Linked DNA regions of Canis lupus familiaris. The protein of the gene in region 1 interacts with the protein of each later gene in a biochemical or structural test. Links are inferred from orthologs where the notes say so. Each region holds a gene or a part of one and is shown in the gene's direction. Other genes may lie near its edges.

Region 1 (4,792 bases):
CTTTCTTTAATTGGGACCAAAGAGGTACATGTGTCTAGACAGCTCTCTGATGCGCCCTGGCAGGCACGGGGACTGTGTGACACCTGGCGGCCAGGTATCTGCAAGATGCAGCAGATAGCAGCCAGTGATGTGGGAGACAAAGACAGAAGGAAATGCAGGAAAAATTAAATGGCCTTATAACCTGCAGCCCATATTGAGATCCGCAGAGTAGAACATTCCTCCAGGAAGCTCCCAGCTGTCTTAACGTCAATGTTTTGCTGTTGGGAAAAATAATCTTAGCCTGACAATAGCAAGGTCCTCCAGGAATCCAAGAGTCTTCTTTAGCGTGATCCTGGAGTCCGGGGATCAAGTCCCACATCAGGCTCCCTGCATGGAGCCTGCTTCTCCCTCAGCCTGTGTCTCTGCCTGTCTCTCTCTCTCATATGAATAAATAAATCTTAAAAAAAAAAAAAAAAGAGTCTTATTTAGCATATGAAAGTCCCTTTTGAACTTCCCTTTTCTTTACTTCACCCAACCCTGGCTAGCTCCCCACAATCCTGGGGCAGCAGCTCTTTGTCCTCACAGGTCATGTCTCCATGCTTTAGTATCACTTTTTTTGCACCAAAGATATCTCAAGAATTCTTGTCTGCTGTCTCCGGACTGAACTACTCAAAAAAACCCAAAAACAAAACAAAAACAAAAAAACTACATCACCAGGGCTTCTGGGAGTCCACCAGGCCTATAGCTTTCTTATTATTACCAAAAGCCACTGGATGAAATACTAGACTTTCCTGAGCCTCTGGAAGAAAAACTGGGATCATGCCAACGTTGCAAAGTTGTCAGAAGGATTCGAAACACGGGGATTCATGGAGATAGTGAGTCTTGAGCCACCCCACCGTCGTCCGTAAGCACTCCCCAAATAAACTCCAAGTAAAATACTGTCCCTTTAGGACAGGCCTATTGGGACCCCTCTTCCAAACGGATTTCTGCCCCTAAGGTCCTTCTCTAGAAATCCTGAAGCAGGTCCTGAAAGTCAGACCCATTTATTATTACATAACTGGAGGCTTTAATAGGCACGTTCTTAGACTATCGTCGCTAAAGGAGCCTCTAAAGGCTCCCCTGGGAGGCCTGCTATCATGATACCCCCAACTCAGTGGTTTCTGAATGGATGAAATGAGGGACAGTCACCCCCTCCTGCAAGCAGGGATCCCGCAGGCTTCGAACCGCTGCTTTCAGGCGGCGGCGGCCCCTGGGACTCTGTCCAGGTTGGATGGAGACCCTTCGGGCCACCTTCATCTCCCCTCGCTCCCCACTGGCCCGAGGCTCCGAGTCCCTCTTCCCCGGGCCAAGCCCACCCCCAGCGGGATCTCCGGGAGCAGAGGCGAGCGCAGGGTCCGTGGGGGCGTGGGTGCCTGGGGTGCGGGCGGAGGGGGTGCGGGGTGCGGGCGGAGGGCAGAGGGAGGGCGGAAGGGAGTGCAGGGGCAGGGCGGAGGGGTGCGGGGGGGGGGGCGGAGGGGGCGGAAGGCGGAGGGGTGCGAGGCGGCGGGGGTGCAGGGCCGGGGCCGGGACGGAGGGATGGGGGTGCGGGGCCGGGACGGAGGGCGGCGGGGGTCCGGGTGCGGGGCGGAGGGGTGCAGGGCGGAGGGGGTGCGGGGCGGAGGCGGCGGGGTGCGGGGGCGGGTGGAGGGGTGCGGAGCCGGGCCGGGCCGGGGCGGGGCGGAGGGCGGAGGGCGGAGGGGGAGCGGGGCGGGCCGGGGCCGGCGGCGGTCACGTGGCGAGTGGGCGGGCGCGCGGGGCGGGGCGGGGCGCGGCGGGGCGGGGCGGGCGGTACTTAGGCGCGGGGCGGCTCCGGGAAGCCAGGGCGGCTGCTCGGCTCGGCGCTGGCGGGCCCGGCTCGCAGGCTGCAGGCCCAGGCTCTCGGCGGCGGGCTCGGTGAGTGCGGGCGGGCGGCCGGGCGCGGCGCCCCCGCGGTGGAGGTGACCTTGGCGGGGAGGCGGGGAGGCGGGGAGGTGGGGAGGCCGGGAGCCCGGGCCCCTGTGCGGCCCCGCGGCATCCCGGGGCGGGCGAGGAGGCGGGGTGGGGGCGGGGGTGGCAGCCCGCGCGCTCCGGAAAGTCATCGCGGTGAGAAAAGCAAGAAGCCCCCAACTCCGGGTGGGCGGCCTGGCCCCGGCCCCGACCCCGGCCCCGACCCCGGCCCCGACCCCGACCCCAGCCCCGACCCCGGCCTCCGCCTCCGCCTCCTCCCGGGGCTGTGTCCGCGGCCAGCCCGGCTCCGGCTCCGGCTCCGGCTCCGGCTCCGGCGTGGGGGCCTGCGTAGTCCTGCCAGGAAGCGCTGGGCTGGGATCCCGGTGACTTTCGGCCAGAATCTAGCTCCCCGGCCCCTGGTGAGCTTCTGGGCCTCAGTTTCCTCAGGAAATTGCCGAGATAATAGTGTCTCCCTACGTCTGTTCTAGGTGTTTTCTTATTTCATAGGGTTTGGGCAATTCTCAGCCCACAACCGAACACACAGTTCCAGGGACCCCAGAGGACAGAGACCAGAAAACGAACCTGGAACTAGGTGGTGTAGGGTGGAGGCCACATGATGAGTTAGATCCACTGATGGGAAGAGAAACTGAGCAGTGCTTAGGAGTCTAGGCATTGGAAGCCCCAGTTCCCCTCCCCGGGAGGCTGGGGTGGAAGGGGAAGATGCCACTCCTTACTTCTTGACTGAGCCTTACATAGGCCCGGGTTGTTTGGGAGAGGGGAAAGCAGGGCAGAGACCCTGAGGCCTCAGCTCTTCCTTTAGTTAATGACCCCGGAGGTCTGCGAAAGGGAGCAGCATATGGGGAGCATTTAGGGGTAACAGTCTGGCGGGCTCAGCAGGCCATCCAATTAGATGTGAAATGGATTTGCCCCTTTGTGGGCCTAGGTCATTCTCTTCCTCAGGCACCTGGACCCCCGCCGCCGGCATCCCTCCGCCAGTCCTTCACACCCGGTGGGAGGGGGAGCTGGAGGGGTTCAAATGGACAGCTAGCATCTTTAGTTACCTTAGAAAAAACTGATCCTCAGTGCATCCACCGGACAGAAATGCAGCTGGGATGCATTTATCTAGTTGACTCTATAGTTTGAGAATGATAGGAAAGTGAAGAGGCTTAGGAGGCTGTCTGGTTTGGTAGGGGCTGCTTTTCTTCCATAACATCCTTAAATAATGGAGAATTGTTTTGTTTTGTTGTAAAGTAGGCTCTGTGCCCAACGTGGGGTTTGAACTCAGGATCCTGAGATCAAGAGTCACATGCTTTACTGACTGAGCCAGCCAGGCGCCCTGAGACTTATTTCCTGTTGGCACTGGTGATAGTGACCTAGAGCCCTTGAGCTTTATATAGGAAGGGGCTGAGCTGCATCCCCCCACACACCCTGTGTGGTTTTCCCAAAGAGAGGGTTTTGACGGTGCCCTGGAGAAAGTTTCCCCTCACATCTTTTTGGGCAGCTCTGTCCCAGAGCTGGGTTATTGCCACTCAGCAGTGGAAGGATGTAGATTCCTTATCTGGGGGCTTTGCAAGCCAGCCCAGCCCTGGCTCCACTAACTCCCCTGCTGGTTTCCCGACTGGTCAGGTGGTGAGGGTGGGAGCCCTTTAGCCTCAGGATAAACCTGCCCAGGTGCTGCTGATTCAGCAGCTTGAACTGAGGCCTTTCTCAGAGACTGGTCCTTTCTTTTCCTCCATTAGAGGACCTGGGAGTTGGGGTAGTAAGTTGGCACACATTTTAGGGGTAAGAGATGTTTTGTATCTCTGTTGGGCTGGGAAGCAAGAGAGAGCACATTCAGGGGAGTCAGAAAGTGTCCATTGGGTAATTTTCTTAAATGTGGTAAGGCCTCGTGATTGTGTGGGATATCCCCTTCTTCCGGAGGGAAGGACTGGACTATTTCGGAGCAAAGGCTCAACGTCTGCAGCCTTTTTTAGATAGTTTGACACAAGGAAAATGTTAAGATGATATTTGGGAATTTTTCTAGATCAAGAAGGGTGGCGATCAGGTACTTTATGGTTCAGCTTCACATGCAGAGAGGGGTGGGGGTTGACAAGTAGATGAATGTAGTGGGGGCATGTGCAGCTGTGTACTGTACTCAGTGGACGCTGGGCGGCAGTCAGCAGTGTTTGTACCCCATCCCATATCCTCACCTCTTCGTTTCAGCTCCGAGCACACTCCAGAAGCTGCCTAAGAAAGGGGGTGTGTGCAATAAATCCTGAGTCCTTTTTTTTTTTTTTAAGATTTTATTTATTTATTCATGAGAGAGACAGGCAGAGGGAGAAGCAGGCTCCCTACAGGGAGCCCATTGCGGCACTTGAGTCCAGGACCCCAGGATCACAACCCGAGACGAAGGCAGACACTCAACCACTGAGCCACTGCAGGTGCCCCACCCTCAGTCTTTCTTTTTTGTGCTTTTAATACTTTTGTATCAATCCATGAACAATGCTATTAAAATTTATTAACTGTAATTGTGCTGGTTGTATCCTTTTCCATTGCCTGTTCATGAGCTTTATTATTTATGTTGATACACGAAGGTCTTGTTCATTCATTCATACCAAACGTAGAGTATTTACAGAGAGACAGGTGGTTTTTACTTTCTCGTTGTTTGTGGCAGCGCTGCAGTAAATCCTTATATCTCTCAGGCACCCCTGAGTGTTTCTCCAGGGCAAAAGCAGAAGTCCAGTTAGTTGCTGGGTCATAAGACATGTGCATCTTCTGTTTTGCTAGATACTTACAGAATGCTGTCCAGTGAAGTTTTACCAATATGTACTACCAGCGGTGTTTGAGGGTACCTATTCCTCCTTTACCA
Region 2 (4,844 bases), on another chromosome or scaffold:
AGTTGGTAAACAGAGAGGCAGAAATGGACTGTGGCCTTGAAAAAAAGTTGAAGGCCTGGATATGAGAGGACCTGACTTAGAAAGGTCACAGGAAGATGTCAAGGATTATCTGTGCCAGAGCTAAGTGCTAAGATGATTGTGGCCTCTTAAGTGAGCACTATGTCATTCACAGTTGCTGTTTTTCTCAGTACATGCATGAGGGCATTCCATGGACATCCATCTGCATAGCACTCCTTAGATTATCCAGTAAAACACCTACCTACCTCCAAATATTTGTCAAGCACCTGCCAAACTTTATCAAGAATAAAGTACCTTTCTAATATATAATTTATAAAATATATTACATATTAATTAATTATAATATGAAAGTATTAATGTAGAATATAATAATATAAAACAGTCTCCAAAATATATTGTTGGGGATAAAGCAAAGTATATAATAGGTTATGTGGTAGGATACCATTTGTACCATTTATAGAAGAAAAGTATATACACACATATGTATGTGTGTAGTTAAGTATTTATATATTTGTACATGTAAAGAATATCTCTAAAAGATACAGAAGTTCATGACAGTAGTCTCTAGAGAATAAAAGGGTGGCTATGGAATTGAGTGGGTGAAGAATTCCTTATATTATATACTCTTAAAAATAAATAAATAAACTCTTTTGTTCCTTTTGAACATTTTTATTGTGTGTCATATACTCCAAAAATTGAATAAAATAAGGCAGATAAATATCCACATAAAACAGCAACTTTGCTTTTAGATAATTTCCCTGCAGAAGCCATCACACATGTACAAAAGGAAAAAAATGCAATATTATTGATAAGGGTAAAAAAACTAGAAATAATTCAAATCTTTATCAGTAGGGGAATGAGTATATAAAATGTGGAATAGCATATAGCGGTTAGAATAGATGATAGATAAATCTATCATAGGATAACTTTAAAGGAAATCAATTAGATTGATCTATCTGTGTTTCAACTCAAAAATATGTTGAGCAGAAAAAAGTATATAGACAGTATGTGTTTAGCATACAACTTAAGTAAATTTTTAAAAACACATTAAGTAAATATATAAAGTGGGCTAAAAGGATTCCAAACCCACAGTGAATTTTACCTCTGTGGAGGGCAAAGTTAGGGGGAAGTGGGAATGAGAGGCTAGTAATATTATATTTCTTAAAAAACAACTACGAAAAGAAAAAGAAAAAAGGGAAGTAAGGTAAGATAAAGCGTTAAAAGTTTTACATCTGGGTGATAGAAATATAGGTGCTTCTTGTTTTATTCTTTGCATTTTTCTGCAGTTCTAGAAATGTAAAAGAAGAAAGAAGGAAGGAAGGAAGGAAGGAAAAAGAAAAAGGAAAATACAAATATCCAACCAAAGTTCTCCAGAAAGACCCTTTTACTTTCTTTATAAAGTCAAGTAAACTCTAAACAATTGGCCTTGATGTTATTAATAAATATACCTTTAAAAAAATAAATAAATAAATAAATAAATAAATATACCTTTAAAGTATAAAATTTTGTATTGGAGGTTTTAAAGCATTGGGAAACTGGTTGTGGCTCCAGATTTCATTCCTCAGATGCAACAGGATGAAACTATTGTCTAAGAGAATGCAGAGAAGTCTGACTCCCCGCGACGACGTTGCTCCCTGGATACACCCATTTGTATCCAACCCTCATTCTCCCAAACCCCTAATGGCATATTCTGTTGAGGAAGCACCATGGCTTGCTTCAAGACATATTCATTTTCCTTGTGCCTTTTTGCTCTTTGTGAAAAAGAAAACTTTCTGGAGGCGGAGCTTGTTTGAGCAACAACACCCTCTTTAAAAACCAGAGTCTCCACGCTTACTGGATCACTTCAGTTCCAGCATCCTGCCTAGCAAAGAAGCAATTAGCCAAAATGATGCCTGGAGGCTTAACTGAAGCCAAACCTGCCACTCCAGAAGTCCAGGAGATTGCTAATGAGGTGAGTTGATGTCTCTCATGAAAAGGATTGATCTAATATCTTGGTTCCTAGGTGGGCCGTCTTAAGCGTGTGGGTGAACTTGAAAACCAGAACACTGAGAAATGTGGGGTTTTGTTCAGCCTTCCCTACAACTAAAAACTTTTTCAGATGAAACCTCTAATAATCCTATGAGAGTGATCTTGAGCAAGTAACATCCCTTCTCTGAGCCTCAGTTTCCCCATTAATAAAAGAATTTATATTGGCTCATCTTTATAGGCTTACAATGTATGATTCTAGGATTACTAATTCAGTCTGTTGAAGCTTCTAATCTTACCAAATGGAGCCAACATGTAATTAAAGTCTGAAGTTGTTAACAATTTGACGAACTAGACTTCACACGCTCTGCAGGGAGATTTTTTTAAATGGGTTAAAGGAAGAACAATATTGCGAAGACAATCCACTTACACACTTCCTGCCAATTTGCCTAATAGAAAATATTTCAGTCTCTTCATATTTAGAAGATGATTAAACTAGTAGGAAAGAGGCGTGGCATAGTCTATGGTGATTCCAAAATTGATTATGGTGAAAACAGAACTCAATGTTTTTAGTAAGTTGATATATTTTTCTAAGTGTTGTTTCACTGGCTATCATCTATATGATAAAATTTTATTATACTGCATATTTTATGAAAAGAAAATATATATAAGTTACTATTTTAGGTTTTTAAATTGTTCCCCTATTTTCTTGTATCGTTCCTTGTTTTTTCTCTGTGAAACTTCATTCTATGACTCTGGCCAACAAGATCAACTTCTTGTGTAAGTGAAAGAGATAGGATCTCTATGTTAGGGCTCTGGAGTGCTCCCCAGAGATTGGATGCCTGGAATTCTACATTCTTTGGGGATAAATCTTTCCCTTTCAAGAGTTCTTTTAAAAAACATATACTTTGTAGCTTTTCTTTCTTTAATGGGTAATATTGAGTCATTAATACCTTTATTTGAGTTCCTGTATCAGTTCAGTTTTCTCAAAAGTCAATGTACACATAAATTACCTGAGGGCCTTGTTCAAATGCAGATATGGTACGGTGGGCTGAGAGCCTGCATTTCTAACCAGCTCCCAAGAGATGTTTATGCTGCTGTCCATGACCTCGTGGCCTACAGGACTGGAGATACATGATATTCTAGAGGCCTATGGGAGATGGGCTTTCTAAAAGCAGAGCACAGAGGGTGCTTGGTGGTGCAGTTGGTTGAGCCTCTGACTCTTGGTTTCAGCTCAGGTCACGTCAGGCTCTGAGCTCAGCACACAGTCTGCTTAAGAGTCTCTCCCTCTCCTTTTAAAGCCCTTCCCCTTGCTCTCTCTCTCTAAAATAAATAGATAAATCTTTTATAAATAAATAAATAAATAAATAAATAAATAAATAAATAAATAAATGCTGAGCACTGCAAAAAAATTCTCAATTCTACTTATGAGATGAAGATCACCTTCTTGCTCTGCTGATCTCCGTGCTGTAAGAACTACATAAGGTGATGTGCATAACAATGACTTGAAAACAAGAAAGAAATATGCATAGGTGAGGCATCACAGGTATTTGCTTCAAATCTTTGCTTCACCTATGACCCTGGAAACTCCCCCTGAGACTCTCTAGGGACCAGAGCTGTAAGGGAAATGGGGAAATAACTGAGATTTCGTTTATAGAGAGTGTGCAGAAAATTTTAATGACTTTTAAAAAGCCTATCTTCTTTAGAAGAATAATTTTTCTTTTAATAAGAAGCTATAAGAAGGCCTTGCATTGTTAAAAAAACATCCATCTGTGAGCCACATCTTAAATTATGAAACTAATTTGAAAATGTGTTTCTTCCTGCTTACCTCAGGCCCCAGCCCTGCCAAGGAGGTAGAATGAGAGCTTGGTATTAACAATAGCTGTAGGGCAGACCCGGTGGCCCTGCGGTTGAGCACCGCCTTCGGCCTGGGGTGTGATCCTGGAGACCCAGGATCGAGTCCCATGTCAGGCTCCCTGCATGGAGCCTGCTTCTCCCTCTGCCTGTGTTTCTGCCTCTCTCTCTCTCTCATGAATAAATAAATAAAATCTTAAAAAAAAAAAAAAAAAGCAATAGCTACATCACCCCGGAAAGTTGCTTTGAAGTTTCAAAAGCCCTATCTTCCATGCGACCTCTCCTTTGATCTTCATAACCCCTGGAGCAGGGAAGGAAATCATCATGTCCATTTCTCACATAAGATTTCAAACTGAGATTCAGAGAGATTAATATCTGCCTAGTTAAGAAGCTAGACTATCTTCAGATTTTTGACCTTCTGCCTTTTCCCCTGTACAGTGGCAGGAACATAGAGAAGCATGAGAGTTGAGGGAAATACATGGTATGGAAAGTTGCCTTATCTGTGCAAGCAGTAAGCCTCAGATTTAAATCAATTTGAGAAATGAATATCAGCAAATCATTTCTTGAATATCTCTAAGGTGTCCAGCATTGTGCTAAATGTTGTAGAAGATGCATAAGGACTTTAAGACTTGGCCCCTGCCCTCAAGGGATTTACAGTCCATTTAGAGAAGTCAAGATAACTGGAACATAATAATAAAACAATCTCCAGTTAGGAACATTTTTTAAATTGTAGGTCTGTAACCAGGAAGGACATTAGAGATTGCCCATCAAAGCTCCTAACTTCCAGGTGAATAATTACTGTGTAGTAATTCAGCTCCTGGGGTATTAAGTTCCCAGTTATCATTTGGCACTGCTCTCACAGGAAAACCTTAGGGAACAATTCCCAATTATGTATTAGAAGGCAGAGGAATGATCAGTTTAGGAAGCACTTACCTATCAATGATAAAGTTTATCTCCCCACAAACAACCCCAAGAAGCAGGTATTACCAAAACCACCTTTAGGTGAA
Region 3 (4,687 bases), on another chromosome or scaffold:
GGGGCCTGATCCTGCAGATTCCCTCCTCTTCCATTGGGGGAAGGAGGAGAACCCATGGGACAGATGATCTCCTTGGTGCCACCAGAAGATTCCTACTGGCCAGTTAAGACTACATTTCTGGGGCAGGTTGTGGCTAGGTTAGGCATGAGGTCCCGGCCTGGTGACGTGACCTAAAGGCTCCATTTTGGGCCTGTGGTTTTCTTTTTAACCCAATGCAAGAGGGAACAAAACCTGCTGGGCAGGGTGGAGAGAGGAGGGGGAGGGGAGGAGGGCCAAGCCCACTGAGCCATGTGACAAGGAAAAGCCAGAGAACCGCCTGCCTTTCCCCACGTTGACAATTAATTTCTGATGCTTTGCTTTCTATTTTTATGGAATCAAATCTGACTCAGTGGCACATTCATGCGGCTGTGAACAGGTTGTCCATCTCCTCCTCAGCGCCCCGCCCCGGGCTCAACCACTTGTCCTCCCACCTTGTCCTCCGTCCTTTCCTAAAGTTACAAACCGGGCTTTGCCCCAGCAGGTACCAGAAAGGCTTGTCTCCCCACACACCTGTTCGGGGGAGGCTCCTGGCAGCGGCTCCAGGTCAGCCCAGCACCCGGCAGAGCGGGTGGGCTCCTGCAGAGTCAGCACCCAGGGAGAGGACGCCCGCGGCCACCGAGGGGTGGGCCATGGGGGGGCAGGGGCCCGGCCCTTTCTCAAAAACCAGTCCTGTCCTGACAGCTCCTAGCACGGCCCCTACCCCCGCCCCGAATAAAGTGTGGGACCCTCCCCCATCCCTGGGTGGTTGAATCTAATTCTCACCCAGGTCTTGCCCTAAATGCCCTCCATCTGACCACAAGCCCTGCAGCCCCCAGCCCAGCCCGGCCGAAGCCCCGGGAGCCAGCTCCTCCCTTGCCGGGACAGCTTGGAGCCTCCTGTGTCCAGCGCCCCCCCCCCCCCCGCCCTCCCTGTGCCTCTGGGTCACATGCGGGTGACTGTCCAGATCCGCTGGCACAAGCGGGGGGCGGGGCCGGTTGAATGCAGAGCGCCCTGAGGCCGCACCCTGGACTCGGCCCCCCTGCAGCTCCTGCCCCCCCCCCCCGCTCCCCCAGCTCCCGGCCGCGCGGGCTTCTCTCCCCTGGGCCCGGGGCAAGCTCTCACCTCCCGGGCAGCTCCCCGCTCCCCCGGGCGCCCCCACCCCGCCCCAACGCTGCACGGGGGGCGCCTCCAGACCGTCCCCTGCAGAGCCCACCCCGAGGGGGACCGCCCCCACCGCGCCCGACCGGCCACCGGAGGACACCGAGGCCGCGGTTCGGGGACGTCCCTACAGGGCAGGACCACGAGCGCCCACACGGTGCGCGCGGCGAGGGCCCCGGGGGCGGCCGCCTGGGGCGCACGGGGGCGGGGGTGGGGCAGCAGGGGACCCGACTCCGCCCTCGTGGCCCCGCCCCCACGTGGCCCCGCCCCCTCCTGGCCCCGCCCCGACTCCGCCCCTCGTGGCCCCGCCCCCTCCTGGCCCCGCCCCGCCCGCCCCACGTGACCGCCGCCCGCTTTAAGGGGAGCGGGTTCCGGGGCTCGGGGTTCCGCTGAGCTCCGCCGCTCGGTCCTCCGCCCGCGCCTCCGTCCGCGCTCCCGCCGCCGCCGCCGCCGCCAGCATGATGTGCGGGGCGCCCAGCGCTTCGCAGCCCGCCACGGCCGACACCCAGGCCATCGCCGACCAGGTAGGCGGCAGCGCGCGGGGCCGCTCCCGCTGGGCCTCGGGGCCTCCCGCACGCCGCAGGTGCAGAGCCGGGCGCGGAGCCGGGCGAAGGCGGGACCCCGGCCCCACACCCTCCCCCGCCCCCGCCCCGGCCCCGGCCCCGGCCCCGGCCCCGGCCCGACACCCTCCCCCACCCCACCCCCGCCCCCGCCCCGCTCCTCCCCCTCCCCCTCCCCCTCCCCGCCGCCCGGGCCGGTGACTCACCCCCACGGGACCCGTGAAAATGAGGGATTTGCGGTGACTGCCGCGAGCCCCGCCTCCCCGCGGCCCCGGGCCCAGGCCCTGCCCTTCCTCCCCCGCCGCTCTCAGGCCAGCCGCTCCCGCCCGTGTTGACGCGGTGCTGCCACTGGGAGAAACTGAGGCAGCCAGGCGCCCTCCGAGCGGGCCGGCCTGCGCGAACGGCCACCCCGACCCGGCTCAGGGGACATTCTGCACCCGCCCAGGAGCGCCCCCAGGAGCGCCCCGCACCCCGGTCCTGTCCTGGTCCTGCCCTGTGCCCTCCCCCGCCTCCGCCCAGGCCCGTCCCTGCAGGCTGCTGACTGCTGACTGGCAGCCCCCCAGCCCCCCAGCCCAGCCGGGACTCCGAGCCCCCTCCCGGGTCAGTACCGGTGCCCGGAGCTGCCCTTCTGCATCGTCGAGGCTGCCACGTTGCCCCTTCCCTCACCTCCGCTGGGGTTTTCTTACCATCCCTGCCGCCACCCCCTGAAGCAGGCGAAGGGACAGGTGATTCCTTCCCAAACCCCTGGGCCCCAGCTTTGTAAGCTGCCTGCAGAGCCCGTTCACTGCAGAGCTAGCATGGTGCTTTGCCCAAACAAGGGGGCTCCAGGTGAGAATTCAGACACAGGTAGGCCCAGGTGGGGAGGCGGTTACACAGAGAGAGCACAGGAGCAGCAGGACGGTGACCAGCCTGCCCCGTGCTGCCCAGAGGCCAGCCTCCTGTCCCTTTGTCCCAGCAGGGGCACCTCCCTGAGGGCCACACACACAGCCTTTGTTTGCACTGGATGGTGACCCACCTGTGTCATGATGGTGACCCCCCCACACACACACACCCCCGACCCCGTCTCCCAGGGGCTAGCCTGTGCCCTGCAGCCCGATGACCCAAAACCCCACAACCCTCTGGAACTAGTCCTGTCCCTCCAACACAAAGTCTGTGCACTCCAGGGCCTACTGTCAACCCAGCAGGCAGCTAGAGCACTTGTAAAGTAGCTTAGATTTTAAATTTATAAGCGGGGGGGGGGGGGGGGGGGGGGAGCGCCTGGGTGGCTCAGCAGTCGAGCATCTGCCTTTGGCCCATGGTGTGATCCCAGGGTCCTGGGATCAAGTTCTGCATCAGGCGCCCCACAGGGAGCCTGCTTCTCTCTCTGCCCGTGTCTCTGCTTCTCTCTCTTCTCTCATAAATAAATAAAATCTTTAAAAAATTATTTTTTAAAAAAAGGCAAACCTGTTTTCCTTTTGCCATAAAGATGCTCAGTTCCTAAAAGGTCACAGCTTTGGAAAACAACATTGACCCAAAAGTATGACTGCTCTTTGACACAAATGATCAGGATCAGCTTGTGCCCAAAGGCTCTGCTTCTTAAAGAAATCGTCTAAAGATCAGTAAAGTGATTTTTACCTGCAGAGCCCAGAATCCGCTGCATCCTGTGTTGTGGGAGACGTTGAGGAACAGCTGTAGTGGCCCCAGTAGGGGAATGGTGCAGAGAACCGGGGCACATCTACAAGAAGGGAGAGTACCTTTCAACTAAAGATTGTATTTTGTTGAAAATTTTGAAAATTTTGAAACATTTTACTCAATTTTTAAGAGTAAAAAAAAAAAAATCACACACAGCCTTTCAAGCGACCCGTCCGAGGGTTAAGTAAAAGGGAAGACGGGTGGAAACCTGCATATAGTGCTGTCGTGGTGAGAATGTTAAATGACCCCGTGACGTTCGTGGAGCTGGAAGGGCGGAGGTAAGCTGAGGCACCACCATGGAAACGGGCAGATCGAGGGAGTCGTGTTCTGCGCTTCGTGGACCGCGTCCCTCCGCGATCAAGAACAGTCAGTGGTGGTGGAGAAAACCTAAGGGGCCGCACGGGAACTGTTCACAGTGTTTAACGTGAGCAGGTAAGCTGTGAGCTCCCCTCGCGGGAGGGAGGCCGCTAACGTTCTCTCCCGGCCCCCAGGTGAAGGCCCAGCTGGAAGAGCGGGAAAATAAGAAGTACACTACTTTTAAGGCCGTGACATTCAGGAGCCAGGTGGTCGCGGGGACAAACTACTTCATCAAGGTGAGCGGCAGAGCTGCAGTGGGGAAGGGGGGCGGCCGGGGGCGGGGGGGGGATGACCTGGAGGGCTCCCCCTCCCCGACTCCAGGGCCTACACCATGCAGGCTGGCCCAGCAGGGGCACGTGGGGTCAGAGGTCCTGCCAGCCCCTCACTCCCCTCCCCCGACCGCACCCCATTCCAGGTCCAAGTTGACGATGACGAATTTGTGCACCTTCGAGTATTTCAGAGTCTCCCGCATGAGAACAAGCCCTTGGCCTTGTCCAGCTATCAGACCAACAAAGCCAAGCACGACGAGCTGGCGTACTTCTAGTTCCGCTCTGAGCGGGCCCGTCCACGTGGTTCCGTGTGGTTCCGTCCTCTCTGGGCGTGTCTGGGATCAAAAGCCAATGCTGAAAAAAAAAAAAAAAAAAAAAAAAAAGCCAATGCTGTTGCTTTGCAGGGCCACTTAGGGAGAGGCTGTCCTGCACCTGTCTTGGTCCCTGCTCCTAACTCCCGTGGGCGAGACAAAGTCAGCACAGTCACTGACCTTCATTACGTTCATCGAGGGCTTATAGTCTCTTTAAATACATATTTGTAGATCTTTGCGAATTTCCTCCTTTGTTTTGGTGTTTTCTTTCATCTGAAACTGTAATCACATCCAGAAGCATCAAGAGGTGCGAGTGACGTGTTTATGTGGCTGTTTTACAGCC

Evidence for each region. The genes of interacting proteins can lie anywhere in the genome.
Region 2: the proteins of CTSB (region 1) and CSTA form a complex in vitro, tested with the Homo sapiens proteins (3 studies listed by BioGRID and IntAct, with this or other methods). The link is inferred for Canis lupus familiaris from reciprocal best matches to the Homo sapiens genes CTSB and CSTA.
Region 3: the proteins of CTSB (region 1) and CSTB form a complex in vitro, tested with the Homo sapiens proteins (2 studies listed by BioGRID). The link is inferred for Canis lupus familiaris from reciprocal best matches to the Homo sapiens genes CTSB and CSTB.

The regions. Positions count from the first base shown.
Region 1 is NC_049246.1:26,190,320-26,195,111, forward strand, and holds the start of CTSB (cathepsin B), read left to right. Parts: upstream 1-1,802; 5' UTR 1,803-1,911; intron 1,912-4,792. UniProt on the Homo sapiens protein: Thiol protease which is believed to participate in intracellular degradation and turnover of proteins. Cleaves matrix extracellular phosphoglycoprotein MEPE. Involved in the solubilization of cross-linked TG/thyroglobulin in the thyroid follicle lumen.
Region 2 is NC_049254.1:26,109,838-26,114,681, forward strand, and holds the start of CSTA (cystatin-A), read left to right. Parts: upstream 1-1,698; 5' UTR 1,699-1,903; coding exon 1,904-1,969; intron 1,970-4,844. UniProt on the Homo sapiens protein: This is an intracellular thiol proteinase inhibitor. Has an important role in desmosome-mediated cell-cell adhesion in the lower levels of the epidermis.
Region 3 is NC_049252.1:37,607,356-37,612,042, reverse strand, and holds CSTB (cystatin-B), read left to right. Parts: upstream 1-1,541; 5' UTR 1,542-1,634; coding exon 1,635-1,700; intron 1,701-3,898; coding exon 3,899-4,000; intron 4,001-4,179; coding exon 4,180-4,308; 3' UTR 4,309-4,590; downstream 4,591-4,687. UniProt on the Homo sapiens protein: This is an intracellular thiol proteinase inhibitor. Tightly binding reversible inhibitor of cathepsins L, H and B.